Tribolium castaneum: one gene and its partners. The protein of the gene in region 1 binds, or shares a complex with, the protein of each later gene. Links are inferred from orthologs where the notes say so. Each region holds a gene or a part of one and is shown on either strand. Other genes may lie near its edges.

Region 1 (5,102 bases):
CTCAGTTCCAAGTTCTGTTTCCTCAACTTGACCACTTCCTCACTCGTAAGTTTTCGGACTGCAAATTGAACCAGAATTACAATTTTTCACCGAAAAACCCTGACATAACCTTTCAACAACTCGTGATAACGTTTAAGCCCAGCTAGAAGACTATCCCACAACTGTTCCCTTTCTTTCGGAAAAAGCGTCGTATATTTAGTCCAATAACTCTCGATATCTTCCTGTGCCACCAATCGAGAGACCGTGCTTCGTTTATGAGCCAGTCTTGCCGACATTGTTGGCATGCTACAAAACTTTAAGTACCAAAAATCACTAACTCAAATTTTTACCCGGCCTTCTTGACGTGATATTTGGCCAGAAACTCTCTCAAAGCTTTCAAAACGTAAACAGAGCTTATCACAAGTGGGTGTTGGTATTGGCATGGCACGTTTGATTTATTATCAGCTTCACCAAACGACCCTTTACTGTCCTGATCCTTGATACTGTAAAAAAACAATATTTTGTGACAAATAATTCGTTTAATTTGCTTACTCTCGCTCGCGCAATTCGGGCCCTTTGCACTCCCCTTTCAAATTATCGTCGTAAAGGGTTACTGATAAAGGGCCCACGTCTATATTGGTCCCCCCTTCACGCTCCGCCCCCACGTATTCGTTCAAAGACATGTCGGTGGCATAAGTATCACTTAATCGGCTTCTACTGTCTTAAAAAACATATTTGAATTTTTTTTTTAAATACCTTAGGTACCCAAGTACAGTCACGATCAAAAAGAATGACACCCCTAAAATGGCAGGGGTAAGGGTGTCATTCTTTTTGAACGTGACTGTACCATCATTGTCAGTGAGTTGGGAGACGTTCAGAGGATCCATTTCATGAACATTCAGCAAACTTTCTTCATCAATATTGATGGGCTTTTCTGAAGTTGTGTTACAAATGGGACAGAACATGTAAGGGAGGAAGAACTCAAGAAGTAGGTCAATATCGGAACGATCATTAATATTAAGGGCCTAAAATATTCTTTTTGCACATAAATAAACAATTAACTGTAACAAACTACCGCAAAAACGTTATCAACTTTAACCAAAGTGCGTTCCTGCTCTAAATAGGGCTCCAAAATGGCAAGTAAGTCATCCTCGATCAAAAACCCCATCTTATCGCCGACCAAATTCAAGACATGTCTCAACGTTTTTTTATAATTTTTATTATAGTCAATGTCATCGCCTTCAGGAATTTCAGGTTCCACGTTCGGGGCGCCTTCTGTTTCCATAATCACGCTTTTGCTTTTCAATTTGCGAACGCTCAAAACATTTAGGGCCGTTTTGTAACTGTCTAGTTCATTTCTCGTGGGGAGTTTATGCTCAGGAGGGCTCCAAATCAAACCTAACTGTTGCTCGTACAAAGTCTTATCAATCTCGAGGATGCGTTTGAAAAGCTGATCGGCCCGTTGCTTATTCATACCCCAGATTTTCTTAAACTTCTCGTCATTAACCTGAGCTATATGATCAGCTTTCCGCTCAATATCGAGGATATTCTGGGTCAGTTTTTTCAACTCGATCGTGAGTTTGTCAATCTGTTGATGGGTTTGAGTGTGGTAATCGTTGTTTTTCTTCCGCAAGTTGTTGATAACGTCCTGAAGCTTGTTAATTCGGCGCTTTTGTTGCGACCGAATAATCAGATTCTCGTCTTCGCGTTTTTTCAAAATCTGGTAATTGTAGTCGAGCTTTTCGCTGTTCATAACCGCATCGGTTTTGATTCTTTCCAGCTCACGCTGGAGCTCGTCGCAGTCGTTTTCTAGTTGAATTGTGGTCGCACGATACAGTTCTTGAAAGTCGCGGTTCAAATGGTCCATTTCTTTGACAAAATTCCAGTAATCTTCCGATTTGAGCTCGGAGTTTGCTTTTTCCTCCTGGTCTCGCTTCTTGTACAGTTCCTCCCATTTCTTGTTATTGGCCTCAATGAGGATTTGGCGTTCGGCAAGGATCACCTCTTCGATCATTTGTAACTCCTGGCGATACGCCTTCCTCATCACGATAATCTAAAATTTGGAAAAACTAAATTAAACGTTTGGTTGGGTATGCAACCAACAATACAACTATAGCAAATATAATTTGCAAAAATAATTATAATAACTCGTCTGTTTTATTTAAATTGTTTAGCAATTGCTATAACTTAACCCCCTTATTAACTGGAAAGTAAATACACAAAAAAATCACAGTAGATAAATGAATGAATGAACGAAATTAAGTTTACGAAAATTGCAATCTACTAAAACTAAAAAAACCTGAAAAAAATTATGAGAAGGAAAAGAAATTCTGGGAAAAAACCTTTAGAGCAAAATGTGCATGAAGTCATCTAGGATAAAAACGTTTAAGTCATAGGGACCTGATTCTCAATCCTGCGTGCAATCGAATTGACATCCTCGATCTGCTTTCTCTGATCAATCGCAAAATTGATTTCCGCCTTTCGAATCTTCTCCTTCAGCTCAGCAATGAGATTATCCTTCTGTCTGATAAGCTCATCGCACTTCTCCTTCTGACTCTGGATATCCTCACTGATATGCAAGGGGTCATTATACTTCAAAATCCCGCCCCACTTGTTTGCAATCTCCTCGAACATCCCCGCTGCCGCCTCGGCCTCATCTTCGAGCTCCTTCAACAGCTTTTCCTTCCCTATGCCTTCGCGTTCACGCCTGTCGGCCTCCCGAGCCTCCGTTGCCACCCGAACATTGGTAACATACTCATCTCCTTCGAGAACCAGCTTCTCCAAAAGCTCGATGCTCTTCTCAATCTGGATCTCGATGGGCGTCTTGGTGACCTCCGGCTCGAGCGTAACGTTGAGCTTTGCCGCCTCTTGAGCCTCCTTTGCCCTGATTTTGGCAAAATGAAAAAAAGTCAGAAAAAAGGGGCTTACTTGCGCAAAGCCTCCACCCGGCGCTGGATGCGGAGCCGGCGGGCGGCAATACGTTCGGTGGGGTTTTTGGAAAAAACCTGCGGTTCGTAATTCTCCTCATCGGTCACTTCTTCCTCTTCCATTTCTTGATATTGATCAAATAAAATAGCAAGTTGAATTTAGCGCCACGTTGTTATAGCAACGGGAGAGAATTGTGCTTCAGAAAACTGTTTTACCGACGGTCTTTTCAACTTTCTAGATTCGCAATGGCGGTATGTTTTCCTGTTTTTTCGTTCAATTTTCTATTTCTTTAATCATCGTTTTGCACAATCAGTGAAATTGATTGAAATTGAGTGATTTGCGTGTCAAATGATTGTTTTTTTGTGATTTTGGGCGTATTTTTTGTTTTTGGTGATTAGGGACATGTGTTCCAAAAATCATTTTTTGGCAGTTTTTTCGCCTAAAAACACGTAAAGAGTCGTTTAAAACCAATCATTTGCTGTTTTTTTAGTAGATTTGGGCGAAAATTCACCTTGTGGTTGTTATTTATGACAGGGCAAGTCTAACCTATAAAAAAAATGTTGTGTTTTTTCCAGCCGGTAGCGAAGGGAGCGAAGAAGGAAAAGCGGGAGGTGAAGGACAAGTCCAAAAATGTGATGAGGGACCTTCACATCCGCAAACTGTGCCTAAATATTTGCGTCGGAGAGTCTGGTGATAGGTTAACCCGCGCCGCTAAAGTGAGTGTCTTTGCATCGCCCCCCAGATTGTAATTTTCGACTTGCAGGTGTTAGAACAATTGACGGGGCAACAGCCCGTGTTTTCCAAAGCCCGCTACACCGTCCGGTCTTTCGGCATCAGACGTAACGAAAAGATCGCCGTTCACTGCACAGTCCGTGGGGCCAAGGCCGAGGAGATCCTCGAACGGGGCCTGAAAGTGCGCGAGTACGAATTGAGACGCGACAACTTTTCCGGTATTTTTTTGGCACAAATCGCGCGAAAATCGCTCTAATGAGAGAATTAGCTTCAGGTAACTTTGGCTTCGGTATCCAGGAACACATCGATTTGGGGATCAAGTATGACCCCAGTATTGGTATCTACGGTTTAGATTTTTACGTCGTTTTGGGACGGCCTGGCTTCAATGTCGCCCACAGGAGGAGGAAACAAGGGAAGGTTGGATTCCCGCACCGTTTGACGAAAGAAGACGCCATGAAGTGGTTCCAGCAGAAATATGACGGTATAATTCTGGCGAGTAAGAAGTGATTGCGTTTCGTATGGTTATGTTTTAATTTTAACATATTTGTATGAGGACGCAAATAAGTTTATTTAAGAAAATTCAATTTGAGTTTTTGTGACCTAGTCTTATCCTTCACCAAAAATCCTAAAGCCATGGTTTCATCAGATTACAAAACTTGACTGTGTAGAAAGTTTCCTGTTTTTCTTTGCATCATAAAATGTTTAGATCAAAAATATTATCGTTTTAAAAAGGCAAGTATAGCAATTTTTTTAATAAAATTGAGATTTTTTCGTTTATTTTGGGCAAATTTCCTAGGTTTGTTTTCATAAGTTGTCAAATGAAGTTGTCAATTAACGGGTTTTTTTTTTGTGAAATGGACAAAATAGCACCGTTTGTTTTTTACTAATTGGCAAATTGTCTGAAATTTTGCGAAATAATATGAGATTCTGATTGAAAAAAGCTGGGAAAAGATGACAGTGTCTCTTTCGCCCCGATTTGGTGATTTTTTGGTTTGTTGCAACCGAATCATAAAAATGCTTAAATATCTCGTTTGAAAATGGCAAAGTTATAACCATTGTGTTACCAATTTTTTGTCGTATATTTTTTTACTCAAAACGAGTAATAATGTTTCTTTTAGTATGTTTTTGCAAAATAAGTGAGACTGGTTCAAAAATGAACTAGAATAGAATTATTAACCAGTTTTGGCGAAATTACACGAAAAAAGTTTAAGTTAAAAATGGTGTAACTTTCTAGAGAGCTATCATAACACTGAAAAATTTTGAAATTTTTTTCTTTATGTTTAACAATATTTTGCGAAATAATAAATTATTTTTCTCGCTGACATGCTACAAACAAAAAATATTGCTTTTGCTCCAAATTAATGAATTTTTCAACTGTTTTTTTCAAATCTACGGAAACAATTCCTCGAACTGTTCTTTTACCATTTTGTTGATTGTTGAGTTTATTTTTTTATAAAATTTCG
Region 2 (3,721 bases), on another chromosome or scaffold:
TACTAGAAATCCCGATTTTCTAGTTTTAAAACAAATAGCGAATAATGTACCACCTTCGACATATTTTGCATTAGCACCAAACTTTTTATTTACTCCTGTAACCAACTGTGATGTAGAAAGATCTTTTTCGAAATTCAAAGATATTTTAACCGCAAAACGGAATCAGTTTTCGAGAATTTAGAAAGAATCTCAGTTATTCAAGCGTATTTCTCAGAAAAAATGATTAAAATATTTTTATTTAGTTTTTAATTTTAATTTCCACTGAATTAAAACGCAACATTTTCAAAATGTAATAGTGACTTACGCTCCCCTGTATTAAACATCTTCATTGGTGTCCGTGTAAAATTAAAGAAATGATGAAGTTATTTTTTAACGATTATGTCAAATTAGGTGCCTTGTCAGGGTTTGAACTAGCCAATCAGAAGCTGATATTAGCAACTATTTTAAAATTGATTCAGAAAATAATCTCAACAAATATACCGCAGTCTTAATAAATTAGCGACTATTTTATTGCCACAATTTTTCTTGGGTACTCCGTAATTATAATAAAACAATAATATTTATGTTTTAATTAGATTTTTGTAAGCGACCGGTAACATTAATTGTATAAACCCCAAGTAAACTACGCCAATGCACACGCTGTAGCGGACCATTTCATCGATAAATATGAACATCGCGAGAGCGCTACGACGAGTCGGCTGATCGGTTGTGGCCTCATGGCCACCCCCTAAAATTTCCTCACACTGGTAATTACTTACCGGCCTTTAAAAGTTATACCTACCGTATTTTCGAACAGAAGGAGTAACTATTTATCAGTAACAACACAGAAATATTTCTTTATTCTTTATTAATGTTCACTGAAACCACCTAATAAAAGGAAACTTGCCTTAATTAAATAACAAGAAGATAAATTAAGCTTATTTTTCAATGGCGCCCCCATTAGTGCTTGTTTCTTAATCCAGCTGCAAAAAATAATAAATTAATAACACATTACTTACAGGCCTTATGGAATCAGCTAATGCTTCAAAGTGAAGACTTCACAACAGCAACAGTAGCCCAAGCTACCAAACAGAAAGATACAGTTTTCGCAAAATTGTAAATTAAGCAAGAAGATTAAATAATAAACAAGGTGGAAGTTTGGAGTGTTTTATAATTTAAAATTCAGGAACGGACAAATCATGCAGGAACTCGGACAGCCTTCGAGGTGGAGGAGGAGGAGGTGGAGGTGGATTTTCCTCAAGAACACGATCAGCTAACTTATAGATATCTTTCTCTCCTTCAGGTTCGTGCTATTAAAAATAACGTAGTGCAATATTTGCAAAAATAAAAATTAGGTACCATTAGCTGATTGATGTAATATTCATAAGGCACAGTTTGAGTGTGTGGGTCTATGGCTATTTCCAGCATTTCGTCGAGTTCGTCTTGGGTAAAGGGCTCACCATCTTGCGTCATAAGCGTGGAAATGCGTTCCTTTGTTAAAAAACCTTTACCTTCATTATCTAGCACTTGGAACGCTTCTAAAAGTTGCGCGGGACTTGCAGGCTGATACCTGCGAATGAAAATTTCGTTTTTTGGCGATTAAATTTTGGTGATACTTGTGTTCAGTGATGATTTGCGACATGTGGGGTAAAAAATTAGACAAGTGTACACTTCCGGGAGATTCGGGGTTTTCAACAGCCATCAAAATTTCCTGAATTTCTGCCTCAGTGGGGCAACAACCCAAGGCACGTACGATCGTTGCCACTTCTCGAACATCGACTGTTTTGTTACCTGCGTGGTCGAAAACTTCAAACGCGTCGGCAATTCTGCGCTCCAAGTCATTATTAATAGGCACTAAAAAAACGTGTTGGTTTTTTGGAAAAAGACGAGTTTTTGACAAAAACCATGAATTTCTTCTTCTTCGTCTTCCAACATTTTAACAATTTTGATAATCGTTAAGGTTTAAACAGTTGACGGTCTCCTAGCGACAGTTTTGGTTGCTAGGTGATTTGAAGTGTTGGCAGTTGTACCACTTGCATATTTTTTTGGTAAAAATCACCAATAATAATAATTACTCTTAATTAAAAATAACATTAAAAAGTAAAAATGCCATATTTATGTTGCACAAATTACGAATGACAAAAAACAGTGTAAATAAAATAAATACACAAATATTATTCAAATTCTCTTTACCAGGTGATTATTCAAAAATTGCGATTCTTGTCAGGTTGGTGACAAATTTGAAATCTTAATATAACAAGCCACCATGAAGGCCAATAATTCAGTGTTACTAATAGGTTTTTTTGTCACAGTCTTTAATAGTCACTCTGTAGTAGATTCTACTTTGCAGTTTTTCAAGATTTTCCTTTAGTTTCGTTTAAATTTCTTCCAGATTATTCTTTAGCTTTCTGTACTCTTCTTTAGATTATTTTATAAATCCATCTTCTCTAGATTCTTCTTTCAAATCCAAAATTGTTTTATTAACACTTTTACATTTTTTTGACATTATCCAAATTTAAGATTCTTGTCTGCGTCGTTTAAAATTCTTCCAAATTATTTTTTAGTCTGTATTATTATTTTATTTATGTACTTTTTTTTACATTGTTCATAATATTCTTCTAAATTTTTTTGTAGAGGAGACTCTAGGTATCTGTAGATACGTCTTTAGAATTATTTTCTAGACTCTAATCAAAATTATTTTATACACTTTTTTTCAAATATTTTTATCCAAATTTTCTTCTAGATTCTACTCTGTATCTTTCCAAAATTCTTCTACAGTTTCGTATAGAATTTTTCTCTTGAAATAATCTTATTAGGTTATAATCTTCTTTAGGTTACATCTTTAGATTCGGTTATAAATTCTTCTGTAGTTTCCTTTACAATTTTTCCAAATAATTTTTATTAATTCTGTAGTCTTCTCTGGATTTTTTTTTCATATACTTTTCTAATTCTTTTCTTTTCTTTTTTTCCTAAATAAGCCTAATTCTAGATCTGAAATATAGATTCTTCTTTCGATTATTGTATAAATTCACGAATTTTTCACGTTTTTTAAGACAATTATTAGGTCTGCTTTGTTTGAAAATTCCTTTGTACTTTCGTTTCGAATTTTTCTAAATTATTTTTTGGCATTATTTGTTTGTCTACTCTTTTTTAGATTGTTTTTAAAATAAGTCTCAAATATTTTAAAAAATCGTTTCTAAACCTAAAATTGGAACTTTTTAAATTATTTTATAAATCCATCTCCATATACTTCTTTAGAAATTATTTTCTATACTACTCAAAATTATTTTATAAACTCTTTTAATTTTTTTTATCCAAAACCTCTCCTAGATTGCACTCTGCATCTTTTCAAAATTGTCCTACAGTTATGTATAGAATTTTTCTCTCGCAATATATTTTTATTCTTTAGCATTGTTTTTGTACTCTTCTCTAGATTTTTCTTGAGATCCTACTCGAGTTCTTTTTTGAAACCGTTTGTAGATCTGAAATCTGGATTCCTCTTTACATTATTTTAGTAAATCCATCTTTGGATGCGCTATTAAATTCCTCTGTAGTTCCCTTTATAATTTTTAAATTATTCTTTAGCATTGTTTCTGTTCTTTTCTCTGATTCTTTTCTAAATAACCCGTTTGCAGATCTGATGGTTTCTTCTTTAGATTATTCTATAAATCCATCTTTAGATTCGTTCTTCTCTAGATTCTTTACCATTCAAAATTCTTTTTTATGTAAACCTGTTTTTTAT
Region 3 (5,139 bases), on another chromosome or scaffold:
AATGTGATTGGAACGAGACAGACTGAATTGGCTTTAACTAGCGGCAATCTTTTCTCAACTGACGAAGCTTTGAAAATTGGAATGATTGACGAGGTGGCGGCTAGCAAAGAGGATGGCATTGCAAGAGCGGAGAAGTTTTGCGGAAGATTCGCCAGAATTCCGCCAATTGCAAGAGCCAGATCCAAGTTGGGAGTGCGAGGCGCTGACATACAAGTAAGCCTAATTTCAGCAAATCTAAACACCAATAACTCACTTATCAGAGCAACATATTTTATCCACTCTCAAGCACCTTTAATAAATAAATTTATTAAACTAGTCATGACGAAGTTGCATTCAGAACTGTTGTAAAGTGATTTCGCATCAAGGTCCTTCAATTGTATTTTTTGTATTCATTATCATTGTTTATAACAGTTTTATAAAATTATGCAACGTGTCCCAGCGAGTTGGAAGAGACTGCTAACCTTCCAAATGTTACAATATTAAAAAAAAGTTGTGTTAAAAAGGCTTCGATACTGACCTATGAGCTTAAATTATTTTCAAGTATATAGAAATTATCTCAAAAATAATTTGTTATCCAAAAAACCCCAAGATCTTTTAGTACTGAAATTGTTGGTAATACTTTCGAATTAAGTTTATACTAGAAGTTGAGGGTACTATCTTTCTGCAGAAATTAATCAGTTGGCATTTATCCGTATTTTTTTTAAGTTTCAAAAACTAGGTAGGTAAAATCATTATTAAAAATGCAAGGAAATATAACGAAATGTTTTATTAAGGAAACTCACCAAGGAAACATATTTTTATCTCAACATATTATGTGATGCAATTAGTATTATGATTTTTTTATAGACTTTTTTGGCATTTTTGTATTTAAGGCTCAATTATATATTTTGTAAAAATGAGTTTTTATTTCAGGACCTCACTAACAATCTCCAAAAAGATTACGAATATGTGGCGAATTACGTAGCTCAGGACAGTGTGCAAAAGGGGTTGGAAATGTATCTGCAATCATTGAAGCAGAAACAGAAATAAGGATATTATAAGTTGATATTCTTTTATATAATGAAGTGTAAAATTTATTATCCAAACCAAGAATATGTGTAAGTACTTTTGTAAAAATAAAGTATATTTTACTATCTTACTTATTCCAAGGCTATAACGTCATCCTTGAGATCAGGCGCGTATTCCTTATTCAAATCCTCAAACTCCTGCCTTTGGATTTCAAGAAAGTGGTTAATTTCCAGCACTTTCCCCCTGTTTCGCTTGATCTCATTCCTACAAGTTGTGGATATTTTTCGGGAAAAGTAAAGGCATAACTTACGTGTTTAAATCGTCGATTAAATCATTTAGCCAATCCTTGGCGTTCGAAATGAGAGTGTCTTCTCTCGCATCGATAATCTGCATGTGCATATCGTGACTTGTTGCCAACGCGTTGTGCAGAAGATCCTTATCTGCCATAAGCTGTAATCTCATTGAAATTATTAATAAAGCAAGTGCCGGAAGTTACCGGTTTAAGAACTGCGGGAACTTCGATTTCCTCATTCAAATTGGCATTTGTTTGAAACTTTGTGGCCAAATCGCCGATATTTTCAGCGTAGCTCACTTCCAGCTCTCTGATCTGCGTAAAGAAAGCCTGCGACGATTCAATGAAATTATTAACGAGTTCTGTGATGTTGTGTTCGAAAGTTTGGTTGACTTCTTCCATTTGTTCGTAAAGTTCCAGTTCCAGTTTCATTAGCGCTTTCCAAACTTCGTGCAACATCTCGTCGTACTCCACCACGAAGACGTCGCATTTGTCGATAAACTCGTCGTAATTTATTTCGTTTGAGTTCAGCTGGTTTTGCACGTTTTTGATTTTGAGGAACAGTATTGCCTTCTTCTCCAGGAAGATCTCCATGTGTTTCTACGGACGAAATTTGGGGCTATAAGTAAATTCGAAAGGGGGCGTACAATGCTTTCGTCTTGATTGTCCTTATTTGCGTCTTCGACGCATTTTAAGAACTGGTCCTGTTCGGTTTTGCGCAGGATGTACTGTTGTTGCCCATTTTCGAATATTTGTTTACACAGTTCGATGAAGTTCTCCTCGTACTCGTCGTAGAATTCTTGCGCGTCTTCGCCGATTTTCATCAAGTTCATGCCGTCGGTGTCGTTGGCAAATAAAGAGTCGAACAAATGGCGAGTGTTTAAATACTCCACGAAACTAGAGGCGTGAAGTTCGGCATCGGCCAACTCTTGTTCCTTTATCGCAGTGATTTCCCGTTCCTTCTCCTCTTTCTCCAACAATGCTCGCAGTTTTGCACTAAAAAACTCTCCTACTGATGTTCACTTAAACAATTTTAGCTAGAAACCTGAAAGTTTCGTGTCCAAGTTCCCGTTCCGACTCGTATATTAATTTATATTCGTAGTAAACGAGTTGTGGCAGAAAAACTGCAATAAATAAACGAAAATCTTCATCCTCGGCACAGGGATTCCCCACTAGATTTAACGATTTTAAATTGCCGAATCGTCGCAAATACAGAATCTATAAAATATTTGTGTATTCTAGAACACAATTATTTTTCGTAATACATTGTCCAAGTCGTCAATTTTGTTTCTTCCAATGCTAAAAACTGTTAATTTTGTTAAAGTGTCCATGTTCTCCAAAACCGTGATTTCGTTATCATACAGACTCAGCTTTTCAAGGTTGCGAAGCTCGTCTAAATTTTCGATTTTAGCTATTTTATTGAATGATAAATTTAGTTCAGTTAAGTTCACCAGACTTTCCAAATTTTCGATTTTTTCCAGTAAATTATTGTTGAGATTTAATTTCGTTAAAGATGTCAGCACCCACAAGTGGTCAATTCTTAAGATATCTACGGATAGGGACACAGAAAGTCGGGTTTAAATTTTACAAGAATTGTTACTCAGAAATTCTAAGCGAATCTCGGTGACGTCTTCAAGGGGGATTTTTTCGATCTCCGCCAAGCGACCCGCTTCACCCTTGGGGCCCTGGTCTTTGATACATTTCTCCAGAAGGGCATTGTCTATTACTTTTGGCTCTTTCAATTTACAAGGATTCATTTTTACAAATTTTCATTAGGCACACTAAATCGATACAAATACCTTTTCAAGCATTCTTGAAATTATTGATGTCACAATGACTGTTGTTTAAGTACCTTATTGTTGCTATGGACTTGAGAAATCATGAATCTTTGAGTTTGCCGAGCTTGTGCTCTTGAGTTTTATTATTTTTCATTGTGAAATTATATCAATTACAAAAAACTCTTTACAGGTAGATTATAACGTCTAAGTAGATAAAAATAGCCCAGAGAGGGTTTTTGGAGTAAAAAAATCTTTACAATTAAGAGTTTGCGAAATTGTAGTCGAGGCGAAGCCGAGTGCTGATACCGCAACTTATAAAAAAATACTCAAAATTGTAAAATTACGTTGTATTCTGTATCAAAGAAGAAATGACAACAGCACAGTTATAAATGCAGAAATGCTCGCTTTGGTAGTATATTACGTGAAAGAACGGAAAAATAACATAAAAAAAGAACTTTAAATTGTGAACCGCACCTCGTATAATTTTTGATCACGTGACACATGTCTGACGTCTTTTTATTCAGAAGTTTACACAACTTGGGAATGAAAAGATCAATAAATTAGAAAAACAGTGACTAACACACCAACAAGCGCGTCATGCAGTTTATTTGTTTGAAATAAAATTGTTATTTTCGTCGGAAAATTTTAGATTTAGGAGCGGAAGTATTGCGCAAGCGCCGCAGTGTTTTCTTGTTTTGACAAGTGACAGTGACAGAAGTCAAGTGACAACAAGAAAGTGCAATCGTGAAATTTAATTTAGAAATAAAAAATGTCTTTTTTTGGAACTGCATTAGGAGGAAATCCCTTTTCGACGCCCGTAGGATCGCGAATTGGTGAGTCCCGCTTGGCATTGCCGGATTTCATTTAATTTTTTTCCGTTGTTAAAATCGATTTAATAAAACGTAAATAGAACTAGAAACCGGTGCTGGCACTGTATTTTATTGTTTAGATTACATTGTTTATCACTTTTGTTGGCTGATTCACCTATATCTATTCATCAGACTGTTTAATTACTGTTTCTGGTAATAATTCTAAGGTACTTCGTCATCGCTGTCTGTGTAGGTGTAGGTTTTTGCATTTACATTTTGTTTGTCACAACTACAGCGTGGTTTTTATTTCGTACCAAATTTGTTTATAATTATTTACCAATAGGTGTGACTTATACTACTCTACATAGGCTATCAACTGAGACGTTTTATGCTTTCTTCACGGGGTCCTATGGAAATTTGTCTATTTAAACCTATTATTAAAAAAATACTTTGCGTTATCGGTACAATAATCTCTTATGTATGTCACAACAGTTAGGAATAATACCGCTGTAGTACCCACATTCTTTGATAATTTTATGGGCAAAACGTAGTTGAAATATTTTTCATCGTTGCTTTAAAATAAATATACATATGTATTTATGCTAATTCAGATCAGTTAATTAATTGGAACTATTTTTGCGCGTTCTTAATCACCTTAGAATAAAAATAACAATATAAATTCTTTTCTATCGCCTATTTACATGAATAATTCAAGTGTAAAATAGAGCAACAAGAATTTTCGAAAATGACCAATAACATAGTAATAATAAGTCCATAAACAATCATTCAACAATGTGTTGTGAGACATTGGTAAATATTTAAGTAATGAACCAGACATATTTTTTTCAGATAAAATTTTAAAATGTTTGGCTAACAAAAAACAACGTCCTCTCCAAAACTTTTCTTTACAATTATTATAATTAATTGTGATTACTGCAGCGTGCACCACATTTATTTAAGTGATTAGATTTAATTATTAAAATGGATGTGAACCTAGTCATTTGGTAAATTAAATTGTACTACAAAATTAATAGTAAAGTTAATTTGTACGTAAAATGTTGCAATAGCATGCAACTGTATGGGCGAGGCATGTGTTACATGTATTACAGTTATGAGTCGGTTTGTAGGTGGATTTTCACAATTTTGTATATTTGGAGGAAAAAAACTCCATTGCCATTTTTAGTTTTTAATTTAGACTAATATGCAATGAAGGAAAAATTGTTAATGAGTATTACGACACCACTCGCTTGAT

The links.
Region 2: dynein regulatory complex protein 1 homolog (region 1) and dynein regulatory complex protein 8 share a complex: the UniProt entries of both Homo sapiens proteins name them as parts of the nexin-dynein regulatory complex. The link is inferred for Tribolium castaneum from reciprocal best matches to the Homo sapiens genes DRC1 and DRC8.
Region 3: dynein regulatory complex protein 1 homolog (region 1) and dynein regulatory complex subunit 3 share a complex: the UniProt entries of both Homo sapiens proteins name them as parts of the nexin-dynein regulatory complex. The link is inferred for Tribolium castaneum from reciprocal best matches to the Homo sapiens genes DRC1 and DRC3.

Annotation. Positions count from the first base shown.
Region 1 is NC_087399.1:6,863,122-6,868,223, forward strand, and holds the start of dynein regulatory complex protein 1 homolog, read right to left. Parts: upstream 3,114-5,102; 5' UTR 3,030-3,113; coding exon 2,908-3,029; intron 2,864-2,907; coding exon 2,380-2,863; intron 2,033-2,379; coding exon 1,055-2,032; intron 1,005-1,054; coding exon 827-1,004; intron 701-826; coding exon 532-700; intron 483-531; coding exon 330-482; intron 286-329; coding exon 110-285; intron 59-109; coding exon 1-58. Other genes in the region: RpL11 (large ribosomal subunit protein uL5), read left to right, coding at 3,153-3,158, 3,483-3,623, 3,671-3,857, 3,908-4,146. UniProt on the Homo sapiens protein: Component of the nexin-dynein regulatory complex (N-DRC) a key regulator of ciliary/flagellar motility which maintains the alignment and integrity of the distal axoneme and regulates microtubule sliding in motile axonemes.
Region 2 is NC_087394.1:7,332,760-7,336,480, reverse strand, and holds dynein regulatory complex protein 8, read right to left. Parts: upstream 2,050-3,721; 5' UTR 1,915-2,049; coding exon 1,884-1,914; intron 1,834-1,883; coding exon 1,596-1,833; intron 1,550-1,595; coding exon 1,339-1,549; intron 1,290-1,338; coding exon 1,155-1,289; 3' UTR 1,133-1,154; downstream 1-1,132. Other genes in the region: delta(3,5)-Delta(2,4)-dienoyl-CoA isomerase, mitochondrial, read left to right, coding at 1,001-1,099. UniProt on the Homo sapiens protein: Component of the nexin-dynein regulatory complex (N-DRC), a key regulator of ciliary/flagellar motility which maintains the alignment and integrity of the distal axoneme and regulates microtubule sliding in motile axonemes.
Region 3 is NC_087394.1:30,246,268-30,251,406, reverse strand, and holds dynein regulatory complex subunit 3, read right to left. Parts: upstream 3,433-5,139; 5' UTR 3,058-3,432; coding exon 2,901-3,057; intron 2,850-2,900; coding exon 2,566-2,849; intron 2,519-2,565; coding exon 2,346-2,518; intron 2,297-2,345; coding exon 1,948-2,296; intron 1,901-1,947; coding exon 1,505-1,900; exon of another isoform or gene 1,459-1,504; coding exon 1,319-1,458; exon of another isoform or gene 1,273-1,318; coding exon 1,140-1,272; 3' UTR 1,048-1,139; downstream 1-1,047. Other genes in the region: enoyl-CoA delta isomerase 1, mitochondrial, read left to right, coding at 1-213, 913-1,029; TOM1-like protein 2, read left to right, coding at 3,848-3,911. UniProt on the Homo sapiens protein: Component of the nexin-dynein regulatory complex (N-DRC) a key regulator of ciliary/flagellar motility which maintains the alignment and integrity of the distal axoneme and regulates microtubule sliding in motile axonemes.